3 linked regions of the Drosophila melanogaster genome follow. The protein of the gene in region 2 interacts with the protein of the main gene of each other region in a pairwise test. Each region holds a gene or a part of one and is shown on either strand. Other genes may lie near its edges.

Region 1 (4,528 bases), on a different chromosome or scaffold from region 2:
GCAACTCAAGCACATCCAGAACAAAAAACAAAAAACAAAGAAAAACCTAATAAAACACAAGATCACGCAATCTTTATAAACTGCAAAATTATTGAAATAATAAAAATCGTTAAATCACCTTTCAGCGTGAATCATATCATTGAGCTTTGCTTCACAAGAAGACGGGAAGACATTCTAAACCAAAAATAAAAACTAAAAACTAAAAACCTAAACTAAAACAAAACAAAATGCAAACACAACGTACATACATATATTTCAAATTATTTAACGCAATTGAAATATAATAACGAGAAGTATTTATAATAACAACGTTTCCAAACAAGTTACTGAAACTTAAAAAATTTACGAGAACTAAGATTAAGAAATCTACAGAAAGAACACACACCAAAAAAAAGAAGCTTTTGTCTGCGCTGGCTGAGTCGAATATTCTATAACCATAAATATAATACCTAAATATTATATATATCTATATAATTTCCTTTCGTTTTTATATCACAGCAACACGGATAGCAACAAAATGGGAAACTTATTTATTATGCAAGAGAAACATAACAGAAAAAGAAAACACTGCAAAGATAATAGTATAAAATCCATAAGCAGATCAAAGATGCGAAAAACAAGAAAAGAAAAGAAAATAAAGTGAACTTGTTAATTTTTAGCATTTAAGTCTGTAAAGCTCCGCTTGTAGATGAAAAATCAATAAATAAACTAAATAAAATGGTAAATTCAATAAATGGAGACAAAAAAGCTGTAAGCTTTCACAACAAAAAACCAAACGATACTTTTTGGTAGAAGACGGGGGATTTTTTTTCAAGATTACTCTTTATGTAATATTCAAGATCTCGATGAATTATCTTAGCTTTATTTGAGATATTCCCAAATCTATTTCTTGGATGGTTCTATTACTATTCTTCTATTCTATGAACTATCATAGATATAGATAGGCACACTCTTAAGGTATCATCATAGTGTTATTATAGATATTCCCGAATCTGTTACTCGAATTCTAGTTGATTTAAAGATAATGCGTCTATAATAATAATAATAGTATTGCTTACTAGCATTAAGTTTTTTTAAAGAACTTACAGCATCTACTGAATCCGAAACAAAATCATCATATAAAAATTTACACATAAAACTTAAGTTTATTAACTTGAAATAAGGTCAAATCGGAATCCTTCTTAGGCAAGCGCACTGGGAAAGACGGCATTCTTGGCAATGGGCTGATTGGACCTGCGCACGATCCTGATGTAACCCTCCTCGCCCCACGTGTCGCCGAAGGAGTTCAGGCAGCGCCAGTAGTCCAGATTGGAGTCCACGTCGTGATCGTAGCCCACGACCACCAGGAACTGTGAGCTCTTTGGATTGGTCAGGGCACGCGTCTCCTGGACATAGACGCCACTGGAGTACTGCATGAATCCAAAGGTAGCCGGATTGTACTCGACTATGACGGGGAATCCATTCGATACGTAACGCATTACGGCGGCATCATCGTTGTCGGCCACCGTGGAATAGCCGGCCAACTTCACGCCCACTGACACAGAGGATGGGGGCTGGCACATACCCGGCGTTTTCAGGCTATTGTTATTCGGATAGTCCACCTCCGGATAGAGATACGCATCTGTCAGCTGGGTGAGATAGTTGAGGGCAGCCAGGGGCGTCTGGGTGCTGCATCCGGTGCCCATGCCCGCACAGTCCAGCAGCTGCTGGGCGGACAAGGACGAGGGCAGAGGATTGGCTGTCTGCACGGCATTCATGATCTCCACGGCCTTGGCGGTGGCATAGGCCCAACTACTGCTGCAGTTCACGCCCTGATCCTCCACCGCCACGGTGAGTCCGAAATCCGTGATAATGTCAAAGCTGGCAGATGCCGCTTGACTGGCCGGTGGATCACTGGCCGCCGAGGTCACCGTATTCACGGCTTTGGGCAGCAGGGCTGCGAACTGGATGAGCCGGATGTCCGAGAACTGATTCACTGCCTCGCGGTAGGTGGTGCGATTCCTATCGGCCTGGGCATTGTGCTGCGCCACCTGGTTGCGGTTGTAGATGAAGTAGTAGTTGGCGAAGTTGCGAGCCGAAGTTGAGGCATAGGTCTTGTTGAAATTGTCCTGTAAATGGAAAGATTTGAATTCCATTACTCAATACAATCCTTTTCAATGCCATAAGATACAAGATATAATTTCTAATTAAATCCCATCCAGACTTTGTTTTCTTGATGACTCACATACCTCGTAAGTTTGAAAGTCCACTAGATCCTGGCCATGATTAAAGGCCCATCCACTGTCGATGGTTAGTAGAAGGCAGCAAAGTAGCAACTTGAACATGACGAAAACCCAAATCCGCACCAACTAATGCCGCCAGAACCATGGAACGATCTTTTATAGGCACCGGCAAACTCTCCTTCTGATTGCAAACGCAAATAGAAGTTTACCAAAGCGACTTACTTTCGCAAGAAAAGTGCAAATACTCGTAGATTTCTACGAGGCCTTGAATTCGCACTTGGCCAGCAGCACTCAAACGTACTATCCGTAGTATTCATATTCCGGGTTGGGTCTCCTCGATAAGCCGACGTTGGTAGGAAAAGTCGGGGTGCGCTTTGTTTGCCCAATAAACTTGTCAAATGCCCCGTTTCGTATCGTTGCGATTCGGCGGTGGGTTCTCGTATCTCTGTTAATTCGAAATCCCCACTGGCCCAGTTCAGAAAAAAACACCCAAGCCCATATGCCCATGGAGCATCGTAAACGCCCCTCTAATGCCAACTTATCGTTTAGTCTTCAGGTTTTGTCTTCAGCGCAGGCATGATTAATCACAGTCATACTTTGTGGCGCCCATAAAAGTTGCAACAGCGTTGATAGATAGATACGTAGATGGAAAGATACATAGACAGATAGATAGATAGGCCCGTTGGAAGACTTGGCCAAATTGCTGTAAACCAAGTGCTAAGTGAGTTGTTTGGTAATTTCCATTGCGGTAGTCTAGCATATACTACAGGTAGTATATATTCGAAGTAGTAATGAGGGATCATCTTGAAATTTTGCAAATATGTAGGTAAGTCCATAAGGGATTTCAGCAGTCAATGAACTTTTTAGTAGACGCAACAACAAATTCAGATTCCACGAATCTGTTAATTGAAATGCAAATAAATTGGCCACTAATCAATCTCTTCATGGTTCAATTTCAATTTATAGTTATTGAAAGTCGAGACCATTATTCATCCGTCTGCATCTTTATCATTCTGTAATTGTATTATTTACATAAAAATCAAAGTGTTATTTATTTACAAGGGATATAATAGTACAAACTACTTAGAGACGCTTTAAAAACTTTCCTAAAACTTTGCTTGCTGCATTGAAATTTGTAATCCTATAGGCGCTACAACTGTGACTTCGATCTCATCAATTATTAACTATTTAAAAACATGTTTGACTATTTTCTCTTTTGTTTCAAATGAGTTAATATGCGTTGTTATAGCCACCAACACATTAGGCAATCGACAATTACTAAGCATGCATATAATGGAGACAGCTATAGACCCATAAACCAGATAGCCCGTCGAAATGAAGATGAATATGCTCTTGTCGGTATTCCAAAAGTTTCAAATTGGTGGCCCATCCAGTTTTGGCCATATGTCCCACGGTCCAGCTCCAGACTCTATAAAACCAAGGTGTGCGGGTCGAGCGCCGCTTATAATCTCGCCGGTCTTCGAGTCTTCAGCATCTTCGAATAGTTTTGTGATTTGTGAACGCGGAAGGTGTTTTGAACATATCATTCCCAGATATCCATAAAAGGTGATTAAGTCGATCTTTTCAACATATTGTGTCGTGTGTGTTGTTATTTTTCGATTCATAATGGTCCGTCGAAGACAAGAGAACTGCAATTGCTTACATTCGACTCGAAATTTGATTTTAAACAGGGGAATCCATCGCCTTTCACCGGGCACAGCATGTGATCAGTATTTTATGGCAACGAAAGTGAAATCTTAGCCTGCGGTTGCCTAATCTAGATTTGATTTTGATTTATTTGGGCCCTCGATGGAGCCAATTTGGGAGCTGAGGAAATAAAAGGAGAGACGAAGCCGCGAAATCATTCATACATTTCGAAATTCATCCGAATCGAATGCTTGCACTAATGTAATTATGCTAAGCATATGCAAATTAGCTCATTCACCCAGTAATTATTCACGTCTCATCGGTGATCGAATTCGTAAAACAGACCGGAAATACGAACAGCGAATGCTCTGCTAGTTTCAAAAGTCTATTTAATTTGGTAAGATCGAATAAAGTTGAGAAATTAAGACAGCGCATGATTAATTACCCATTAACGCGATTGCTGACAGAAGCGGATAGTCAGCGTGATAGAAAAAACCAATAATAATTAGTTTTTTATTCGTTTAATCGATCATTATGTTTTTGATTGTCTTAGAAACAATGTTGATTTCTGCATAGGCGATCATTAAACGGTTTAGTTTCTTCAAAACCAAGCTTGTTAAACAAACAATTTATTAGTTTCTTTGTTTTATTTTGGTTTT
Region 2 (6,304 bases):
GTGTGCTCTAGCGATGCATTTAAACTAAGTCTACGATTCTCCATACCCAACAACAGTCAACCAACAACAAGAACTACACGTTGCTCGCCATCTTTTCTTCGATCTCATCCGCAGGTGTGGGGCTGCGGCGACAAATCATCACGCGAAGTGCAATTGGACATCAAGAAGTGGCAAATCAAGGAGGCCGAACGGCAGCGGACAGTGAAGCTCACGGCCGCCGACTGGATGGACCATCCGGATCGATATCTCCTCGAGCTGGGCGGCAGGCAGAACTACAACAATTGATCGCGACTGCTGCGCATATATGTATTCTAAAAGCAATGGATGGGGAATGCCATTCGAAATGAGGGGCATGCCACATTGAAATTTACTGGGATTTGCTATAGTTATGCACTCGCAGCACGAGAAGTAATCACTGGACTGAATTTGTTTTTAATTGATGTTGATTGATATTCGGTTTACTTGTTTTTCTTTCTATTATCAGTGTTTAGTACTCGATTTGATTTATGTATGTTCGTAACGAGAATTCCGTGAATGCCTTTAAATGTACTTCGGTCTACTTGTGTATCCATGTATATGTCACACATTGTCTTCGTTTTCGTCAACTTTTTCCTTTAGGTCTTCTGTTATGTTCCGTATCTTTGTTCAAAAATGTAAAAAAGCAAGTATTATGAAAAGACATAGGATTCGAAGTGCTTAAACAAATATTTCAATAAATGTTACAAATGAAATGAAGTCGTATTCTCTACTTGCAAGCGTGGAATGTAGTTCTCATCATTATTTTATCTCATGTCACCCAACTAGATGATCCTAAAACAATGTTAGGGGATTTTAAATGACCAACAAAATTCAAATTTCTTATCACATATTAACAAAAGCAACAAATACATAAACAAAAGCATTAGTGTCGAAAATTGGAATGATATGCACAATGTTAGTACACAAATGGGTGCAGTAGCAAATGAAAATAATCACGAATTGTACGAGATTAAAACATAAAAGGCGGTTTCGATTATTTTCCAATATTATATTATTGATGTGTATATTAGTTTTACAATAAGAATTTCTATTTAAATACAAGTCACGCCCTTTTCTGACCGGCGGCAGTCACAAAATTCACAATCGGTTCAGGCATGTTTTTTTTTAATTAACTACTTCGCCACACAAAAAGTTGGAGACCTACATAACTATGCGGGGTCACCTAGCAGGGATGTATAGAGTAAAAATATCGTTTCGGGAAGGTCTGTTCACAAACAATCAGCACATAAAAAGTACTTACAAAATATCTGACCCCTATATTCAATGATGATTCTTTGGGATGCTAAGGGATGTGTGGATTCACTTGTGCGCGCTATCAGGAGCAGCGATTACAGTGAATGGCGATCTAAAATAAGTTGCTTTCGCTATGAAAACTAAGGCCACAATTCAAATGCCCCATTTGATGGGCCGCTAGAAAGTGTTCGTTTCATGAGTATTCTAAGCCTAGCACAAATCAAGATATGGGATGGGGAAAAACAATAAATATAAGCATAGCATATAACTGATAAGGGGCTTTAAGGTCAGCGCGTCTAGGTGATGTACTCTCGATCGCGGCGTCGCCGCGTCGTGGAGGCAATAAAGACCACGGGTTGCACACCAGCACCGTCATCTTCAGCGTCTCCATCCTCTCCGTCCACGTCCAAGTCACCGTCGTCAGCGTCATTATCCCCGCCCGTTGAGTTCGACCACTCGGACGCCGACTGATTGCTGCCAGTGGCACTAAACTTGAGGCTGCTTGACATGCCAAACGATACGGATAGCGAGGCGCTGAGTGACGAGGCATTCAACTGCTGGCTCACGTCCACGCCATCTTCGTCCTCGAAAGCGTCGTCAATGTGCGGGTGCTGATGTTGCTGGTAGTGATATTGTTGGTAGCGGTGTCACCTGCCTGCGCCCGCACCCAACAGCAGGGCATAATCATCGTTGGACTCGGGAATTGGCGCCGCTGCCGACGCGGCACCAGGGGGCAGGCGCAGGAAACTGCCACCGCCGCCAGCACCCGCACCCGGATCCCTTTCGCGCTCGCGAAGATGCAGTGTGTCGCGTTGACGGGTCGACGGCTGAGAGCCTGCCGCTCCCGGCAAGTGTAGTTGTTGTTGTTGGTAGTTGCTATTGCTACTGTTCCCATCGTCGGCCACGCCTGCTAAAGGAAATCGAGATTGGGAGTGAGTAGATTGACTTTCGGGCAGTGTATTCAGCTTGCCATCATACACAGGCACGATCAGGCGACTGGACGTTGCACCATACATGTTACCTGATTGTGACGAGTTGCCCGGCAGCTGCTGATCTTGCCGCTTGCTGATCAGATACTCGGACTCACTGCTGGAGCGGCGAGGACTGCGCGCCAGCGGCTGGTATGTGCTGCGTCCCTGGAAGCGACGACTCAGTGAACTGCCCACGACGCCCAGATGCTCGGTGACATCCTCCTGCATGTCGGATATGTCCATCATGGAGAGGAAGGCGCGACACCAGCTATGGTTCGGGTTGTTCCAGTACTGCGGCGAGTTGATGTGAAACGGATGGTGCGGGAAGCTGTAGATGTGAGCCACGGCCGCGATAAACATTTCGATGCAGATGAGGAAATTCTGGTTGGCGATAACAAATACATACATATTTGAATTGGTTTTTGGAAACTTTCACTTCGGTTTCATTTGTTGTGTTTGCAAATTTGGAAGTTATGCTTGATAAAAACTCTTAGTCATCAGTATTAAACGAACTTGGGACTGTTTTCGGTTATAAGATAAGGTTGGTATGAAAAAATCATGCTTAATTTACATATTAGCTCTTTACTTATAGAAATAACTTATTGCCAGATCCATTCGGCTTTTAAATAGGTCACTCACCTGAAGCAGGGAAGCCAGATTGGTGTCTCCCACATCCGACCCAAAGATGTCCTTAATAATATTATAGTATACCAGTACGTTGAGTAGCACTCCTTGGCTACGGTGGAGTAAAATATTCTTAACCAATCTTAAATGCTTTCATGTGGTACTTACAAAAACGAGAAAAACACCACAGCCTTGATGCACAGGAATTTGGGAATAGGCTTCATTGGTTTGAGATCCTCCTTGTTTGCACGGTAAAATAGCACCAGGCAATACATGGCCACGAACTGGGATATATTGTTGACCACCACAATATAGGGGAAGGCCACGTTGCCCGCAAACTCGCCCTCGCCGTAAACGCCGCATAGCTCGCAGATGCTACGAAATTCCGATTAGAGTTGACTGTTAAACGGAAAAGCACATCCCGACACTCACACAGAGATAAAGGTGGTAATGGGGCGCACGACCGTGTACTGGAGGATGCCGTGCTTGCAGTTGTGGATGAATTCACGACCCATCACCCACGGCCGCATGCAGCAGAGCGGAAAGAAGTGAGGCACCTGCGGCTTGTACTCCATTGTGGCCTCTAGGTCCATACCGAGATTCAAGTAGTTGAGCAGGTACACCATGAAGTTGTAGATAACGTACGCCTCGTAGCACTCGCGCAGTGAGTCCACGTAGATGGAGTGCTTCGGAAAGAAAAGGCCGATCCACTGCAAGTGAATAGAGAGTATTAGGTTTCTTGTGGTCTCCAATTCCGCAATATCGAAGCTCACATCGGTGGCCCACTTACCGCGTTCAAGGCGTAGATAGGCACCATCCACAATATGCGGATTATGTGCTTCTGCAGTATGGGCTTGGTAAAATGAATGACGTGTTGGATGATATGCCAAATGGACACGGGCACTGCGGACAACACAAACAGACCGCCGATGAGAATGAGCTGGTCATTGCGCTGGAAGCCATCCTTCACGGAGTTCACAATGAGCAGCGGGACCACGATGATGGCGAAGATGACATAGGTGATAATGAGCAGCGGGCGTATCCAGATGCGCCACTCCTCGAAGAAGCGTCTTACGTCCAAGCTGCACATCTTTGCCTCTGGTGCACTCCTTGGGAATGCTCCTTGAAATGTGCTGTTCACCGGAGTACCTAATATCCGGGTTGATATCGTTGATTCGTTGACGTCGACGCCGCCGCCCCGATTCTGTTTTCACTTGGGTTTCCGCTTTCTTCCGCTCCGATCCGCTCTTCTCCGCCAGAAATTCTCTCACAGCAGATTACAGGACACGGCGGTGGCACCCACGCTGGAGGCGCATTTTCAGAGATCTCCTGCTGGCAGAGCAAGTTCTTCGATCTATTGGTTTCAGTCCTATTGGCAGTAATATCGCGGCTTTCGTGCCCTTCTTTTGTGAGGAATCCAGTTCGTGGGTCGGGTGCCTACGTCTAATTGGTGTGACCAGCCAATGCGAAATCCGAAATGACTAAAATACAGACTTCCTCCCGGTTTTATATTATTTAAAATTTTTACTATTTGTTTTATTTTAAAGTTTAAAAGCTATCAGTAAAAAAATTAACTTAATTAAAAAACAAATGTCGAAGATTATTTAGATTTTGTTTGTCGCAGACGAAAAATATGAAAATTTTCCGATGATTTAAAAAAGGGAAATTTCGAGGGCTGCAGAGTAAAAAAATAAAACATATTTTGAAAATTAAAGAAATATGTCAAATATATAAAGTAGCTAACTCCAAACCGACTACTAATTGTTTCGTAGTTCAGAAATTTTTTTAATACTGAATTAATTGTAAAATATCTAATTTTAGTTAGTTCAATAAAACAATTCACGAAAGTTAGATGCATTTTATTTATTTATAAGATTAAAATATCAATTATGTACAACTAAGTTAAGTATTTAATTAGTTCTCTTGAAATGGATATAAGGGGATTTACAAGTGAGCTTGATAAGCGTGATATTTTTTCGTTATGGATTTATTAAACAAATATTCTTAGATTATCTGTTTGATTTGAATATATGATGTCAAAATGTTCCCTTAACATTTATACGTCGATAACTTAAGATGTTCCGTGTACGTCCCAAGGCTGTCTTTTGGTTAAAAGTACTGCGGAATCGCTATTACTATTTGCCTCGCCCCTGGTAGTCATTTTCATATACACAAGATCGGATTACGTTAAAAGTAATTAAAAAGTATTTGCATTATAAGAAACAGTAGTCGCCAGTGCAGACTAATTGTTGTGATGATGAAGAAAGAGGATGGCGTCGATGTGACTACCGGTGAGCATGAATCGCTTGTTGAAGTCGTATATTTGGTCTCTCAGCGCCTTCTTGAAGCTGAGCGTCACCACGCCGGGCACACTATGGTACAGGCTGGCCAAATCGCGGAGCGTTCCATAAATGTGTCCCATCTTGAGCCACCACTCGATGGGCGACTCATCCAGCTGAACGACCACCTCGTTGCGATATCGCTTAAGATCGGACTCCACGCTGCTGTCCGCATCTCGCTTCGGAGGATTTGGTATCTCGTTACTGTCAAACAGCAGTTTCAGACCTACGGGCATTTTCGTTTAGTCCATGGTTTATGATAATCGATTTAGTTCGATGCACTTACCCAACTTCTTTGGTGCACTGCCGTCCACTACTCTTGGTTCTGACTTAATGGCCACCACGCTGGAGGTAGCTGCCACTTCGTTGGATTCCCCTTCGCCCACTCCACCAAAGTTAATGTTATACTTATGGGTCAGCATACGAACGGTTCGCTCTAGGTTGTCAATGGTGGTCAGGCGGTGGAAGCGTGGGTCCAACAATGCAGCAGCGGTCAGATTGTCATTGGATATAACGTGCGCCTGGAGGACACTGGAAATGGTCCGCTTCAAATTCATCATTAGGGGATCGTCCTGCTCGGCGATGCCCAACTTCTTGATAAGAATCTTTGAAGTGATTGGCGAAAGCATGCTACACAAGGGAATGTCTTCGCCACGCAGCGTGTCCAAAGCAATCTAAAAGATTTCACACAATAAGAAAACTGCTTAAACGTCTCATTTAGCTTGATGGCTTACCACCAGAGCACTCAGGGCCTCCGTCACCGTCTTGGCTGATATAACCAGGTGATCCATGTCCTCGGACCAAGATATGGACTCGGCAAAGAACTTCAATGTTTCGTACAGTGTCCAGGGGAAGTGCTCGTTGTACGTGGGCATGGGCACCTCGGACACCTTGGAGGCAATCTCCGTTGAATGACGCTGCATTAGGTCCTTCACCTGCTCCAATAAAGTGGCCACCTCTTCGATCTCAAACACACGACGCAAACATTTGTCAATTACCGAAACGTAGCACAGCGAAATGGGTATATCTGCAATAAAAGATTCATATTCATTAGGAAGTCCAATATTTGATATATATTCTATATAAGGTAAATAATTC
Region 3 (5,332 bases), on a different chromosome or scaffold from region 2:
TTATCAACAAATTACATTGATGGATAATCTTTGAAGTAACACGTGTCACAAGAAATGTGATTTAAAATATTAAAATAAAAATGAAATGAAATGACTTGAAACATTTAACATATATGCAGGTTCCTTTAATCACCCCACTACAGAAACTGGAAATTTTTGAATAATCCCAATAAAATTGATCTGTGAAAAGATCTCTTGTGGTTTGTAGATTCGTGGTAGATTTGTTATAGATTTGTAATAGTTTTAGGCGCATGGCATGGATCGGATTCTTGGCTCTGTTTCTTCTCTTCTTATCTCTCTCACTGGCTCTCTGTTGAAAATCGGGTCGCTGCTTAGTTATTCCGCACAGGTGTGAGTGTGTCTGTAGGTGTGTGCGTGATACCTGTTTGTCCGCACACACACACACACATACGTACACAAACAGAAGAAACAGTCATCATCATCGTCTAAGCCAAGTTGCCTCTTTTCACCTTTCCTTTGGCCATTCAATTCCGCTCTCGCTCTCCCTCTCGTCCCCTCTCTTTCGCGCCCGCCTTCATCGGGCGGGAGTGGGAGGGAGAGGGCTAATGTCGCAAGTAGCCGAGATTCGATTCTTCTTCTACGCTGCCTTTTGAGCTCGCTTCCTAATCCATTAACATTTCTCTATCCCTCTCTCCCTTTCTCCTACTCTCTTTCTCGCTCTGTCTCTTTAGCCCTGTCTTCTTCCTCTTCTTCGCCTTCTATGGGCTCGGATAATTCTTCTTCTATCTTCACCATTAAATGATGACGACGCACTCGCAAGAGAAGAAAAACCCAATAAAAAAAAAAAATAATAAATAAGTCCGACTTCAAAGACTTTTATTAAAATTCAATCAATCAATCGCAAAAATGACAGTTCGATCTTCGCAATGATGAATGGATGGTTTTGAATCTAAAATCTTTGCCTTATCACCCACACTCTCATAATTATTTATCTATTTAAATATGCCATCGTTCAAAAATTTCCATAAATATACATTTTATTATTCCGTTTTTAAATTTTTTTTATTTTACAAAAGTACGTACGTATATACGATTCTGTATTATCGTATTACCCTATATAAAATAGTCACATAAATACCTATATTTATGATTCATGATTTAAAAGTGAATTAAAACACGTTTTAGCAAAATGAAATCATCTTCAAGCAAGATCATACCGTGATTTTGTATACTTCTGAAGAAGAGATCTGATTAAAACGTCAGTGATAAAAGGGCTTATTCTAGACGCCGAAAACCCATCAAAATTGATGACCAATGTTGGTGACAGATAATTTCTTTGTGCGACGTTGGCCATATAAATAATGTGTGTATTTTTTATTTATTTACTTTTTTTTTGCCACGCTCAACGATCAGCAGCGACAACAATTTAGAAAATTAGTTGCACACTCAACGAAACTCGTTCCATTGGCTTTCTAACCGGCAATGAGGCAAGCAGATCAGCGGTACAGTTGGCGGGGCGGCTAAGGGGGCTTAATTTTTGTAAGCGGCCGGGGGGGGGGGGGTGTGTTGGTGTTTCGATGGGGGCTTACAAGGGGGTGGCGAGTGGGCCAACTCTCCCATTACATCTGCATATGTGGCATGCAATTGGATCTGCCTGGCATATTCCAGATTGCCATTCAATTCGATTTGTGTTGTGTGGAGTAAGCGAAAAGCGAAGGAAAAAACCGAGAGCCGACATGGTGAATTCTCGAGCGGGGTAACCAGTTAAAAATGGGAGCTAGAGCTGGCCTCCAGTTACTGGCGGGGGGGGCGATAACTGGCGTGGAATATCTTCGAAATTGCTCGATGTCTCGTATTCATATGCATTAACAACCGCTGCTTGCTAGAACTTGCGAATCTCTCAAGTTCCAGAAACCAACAATTTCATAGATATTATCACACCAGCTGGTTAACTTTTTTAACTGTTCCTATGTTAAATTACTAATCTATGTCAATTTGAAACCGTATTTGGGTATATTTAATATGCTGAACTGAAGACACTTCGTGAAATCTTTGAAAACTATTGTTTACTCTCAAGTTTACAGTTTTCAATGAAGTTATTATGCGTGTTTGAACTTGAACTATCATGCTGTCACTTCCGATTTCGTCAATTGTTTTCGTTACCAATTCATTTTTTTTTTTTTTTTTCGTTGGCAACACCTCTGGCCAATTTGCTCGCCTGGACTTTTCCAAGCCAGTCAAATTTGCACTCGAAGTGGAAAACTTTCGACTGTGAGTGTTTCGGTCGGTTGTTGTGGCAAATATATAAATTTGTGAAATTGTCAGTGCCACAAGCAGAGATGATTTACCGCCCCGGGGGCTATGCCAGCGACTCATTTATCAAGCAAAAAATAAAGAAACCCGAAAATGAAGAGAGTTCTAAGTTGCGACTGGGAAACTTTCACCGGGTGTCGTTTCAACGCGGTGCGGCAATAAAAGGGGGGAGGGGGGACCACATTTTTTTTTGCAACTCTCGCACTTGAGAATCTCGGCCGGGGAATGGGGGGAAATGCTAGCAAATCATATTTTTGGTGAGGGCGGGATTGGCGGTTGGGGGTGTGGGATTTAGTTGGTCTCAAAGTCTCTGGGCTTTATCCTGGCCAAGCCGAGTCATAAACAAATACGGTTTGCTGCTGTTTTGTTTACATTCGCAGTGTTTGGTGCCCACCGACCGACGTCTTTTGGCCAGGGGTCTTTTGGTCTCTTGGCCAGACTGGTTTTTCTCCGGCCAAAAAAGGAAGTTGCTCGTAAAGTGGCGAAAGCCGCCAACTGACTGACCCAACAACAAAGTGTGCAAAATAAAAATTGCAAGAAGAAAAATCGTTAAATAAAATAATAAAAGCGCTTTCTTTCTGTCTGCCCCTTTTGTTTTTTCTTTGTGTGTGTGTTGTGTGTTTGTTTTCTTTCTATAAATTTTTGCGGTCTGCGTTTCTTCGATTCAACTATTTTCCATATTTTTCTATTTGATATTTTGGCAATTTTGGCGATTTTCACTGATTGGTTTTTAATTTTTGCATTTTTCGGTTTCTGTTGGTGGCACAGCAAAAAAAAAAAAAAGGGAAGAAGATCGAAATATTTACCGCCGCACTCACTCGAAAAAAAAACTCGTAACACTCAATTGGAATTTAATCGGCAGGTTGGCCTTTCTTTCTTTCTTTCTATCTTTCAGTTTACTGTTGTTGTCGGCTCCGATATTCTTGTCACTCTGTTCTGGCTGCCCACACGCTGGACGTATCTGTTGTGGGCCTGGGATTCGGGTTCGGATCAGAGTCACTATCGCACTGTCACTACAGTTGGTTACTTATTAGCCGCGCTGGCTGACCGTTCACGACGACGCTCCGCGAGCGACTGACCAGCGGATGCTAGCGCAGCCCACTCGCCGCCCAACCAAAACCGAAGGCATCGAACCTTCGAACCATCGAACCATCGAACATGTTGCGTTGCAGCCGCTACTCACAGGCAGTGCGACTTCAAACAGAGGCGCCGCTTTCGAGAGCGAAAGAATTGCATTGGTATGCTCATGACTGCCCAAGGAGCTTGCTTCATCATCAAACCAATTCATTATTATTATTTAGTTCTTATTATTGAGATTATTGTACATACTTAATAGCAAGTAATAGTTCTACTAAAATGCTAGCTTCATTTTATTTGAGAACTCCGCAGCTTCGGAGTGCACATTTCTTTGTTCTCTGCTCTGCGTTTAAGTTCTAATACTATTTAGTTACGCTGCAATTCCTAATAGCCCCCATCTACACCTCTGATGCAACATCGATTCCATGGCAAGGCTATGTTCGAGCGTGCAACATGCAGCATGTTGTGTTTTCATTCGAACAATTGTTGCTGCCACAGTGCGTGTTGGTGGTTCTAATTGACAGTTTTCCAGAACAACTTGTTGAGCTTATTGTTGTCTTAATGGGGTGCTTATCTACACCTGCCACCCCCCCCCCTCCCAGACTTTTGCTTGCCTCGCGGATTATTGGAGGACAATTCCACCCCCCCCCCCCCCCACGTCACACTCTTACACTCTCTCTATCTCACTCTCTGTCCGGGTAAATTGACGATTTGAATATTTACATAAACGATTCTGATTACAATTGAATTTATTATTTAGAGCAGCTACTTAAGCCGCTAAGTCGTTGGGTACATAGGACATACATACATACATACATACATGCATATGTGTATTCATTTGTCGGCTGTCGCTTGACAAATGATACCTTTTCATGGAACTTTTATTTGTTTATTTTGCTTTCTGGAAGGCACAATCTGCGGCACGCCGAGAATATTGAGTAAACACACAATTGCTGCTTGCCACGTGCAACGTGCTCGATGCTGGCAGCGAACGCGGTTCGAGTTGCAAGCCCCTTCAACAGGTTGCCAGGTTGCTCTACGAAAATAATGTAAGCTCCTTTACAAGTCCGTACGAAAATTAATTCAATACTCGGCTAAAAATAAACGCACTTGTTCTCAAGTACAAGCTTACACTCACACACATATGAAACGGAACCTAAGTAAATCCCATTGTTTTGGTTTTAGAACTGAGCAGGAGAATTTTGAAGAAGTTCTTCAATATTTACTCCCAAGAATTCGAGTGTATCCAAACTATTCGAATAGGGCCTTCTTCCGCGAAAAAAATCGCTTTAATTGCAGAGCAAGTCAGTCACCAGCCAAATGAACAGCTGTTTCGGCTCCTAAAAACTTTTGCCTGACCGCCTGCTGGCCGTTCCGCATTCTTGGAAGCGGAATTGAACAATTTGAGATTTTCGAAGGGGAAAAGCTGTTTCGCCTATCAGGTGGCCAAGTAGAAAGATATATACATTTCCAATCCAGTGCTGCGGAGACATCACCGAACGCTCTACGAGCTATAGGAAAATTCTCTATTGCGTCTTAATGGATTCACAAAACATTCTCGTTTAGACATATTTCGCAGTGAAAGGTGATAGGGCCAAGAAAAACAATTGGCCGAAACCGAAATGCGAAGTAAACTTTTCATGCACAAAAACCAAAGCGTGCAATTCTTATATTTATATTTACCCAGAGATTCTCGCGCGTTTTATGACGAGGGTCATTTGGGGAAAGCGTGACCCGGCCGAAAATAAACAAAATAAATTTATTAACCATCTCCAAAGTTTAAACAGCCGTAGAGCATGTTCTCGAGTGGGGGGCAGTGCGCCAAGGTTGCACACTTGATCGCAATTCAAATAAATGACTGGCTTACACAAATTATATGCGAACTTATTAACTTAAGCCAATACATCAAAATATGTTTAAATATTATATCAAAAATAATAAAGTTTTTATTTCAAGAAATTCCCCACCAACCATAACATTT

What was found. The genes of interacting proteins can lie anywhere in the genome.
Region 1: the proteins of CG5850 (region 2) and CG6337 interact in a two-hybrid assay, tested with the Drosophila melanogaster proteins (one large-scale study listed by BioGRID).
Region 3: the proteins of CG5850 (region 2) and mgl interact in a two-hybrid assay, tested with the Drosophila melanogaster proteins (one large-scale study listed by BioGRID).

What each region holds. Positions count from the first base shown.
Region 1 is NT_033778.4:13,832,739-13,837,266, forward strand, and holds CG6337 (uncharacterized protein), read right to left. Parts: upstream 2,359-4,528; 5' UTR 2,325-2,358; coding exon 2,229-2,324; intron 2,109-2,228; coding exon 1,182-2,108; 3' UTR 837-1,181; downstream 1-836.
Region 2 is NT_033779.5:9,959,436-9,965,739, forward strand, and holds CG5850 (uncharacterized protein), read right to left. Parts: upstream 4,321-6,304; 5' UTR 3,958-4,320; coding exon 3,658-3,957; intron 3,578-3,657; coding exon 3,300-3,577; intron 3,243-3,299; coding exon 3,036-3,242; intron 2,980-3,035; coding exon 2,883-2,979; intron 2,670-2,882; exon of another isoform or gene 2,625-2,669; coding exon 1,920-2,624; coding exon of another isoform or gene 1,569-1,919; 3' UTR 1,015-1,568; downstream 1-1,014. Other genes in the region: CG4658 (uncharacterized protein), read left to right, coding at 115-285; Dref (DNA replication-related element factor), read right to left, coding at 5,110-5,432, 5,493-5,880, 5,941-6,233.
Region 3 is NC_004354.4:9,496,794-9,502,125, forward strand, and holds the start of mgl (megalin), read right to left. Parts: upstream 3,337-5,332; 5' UTR 3,081-3,336; intron 1-3,080.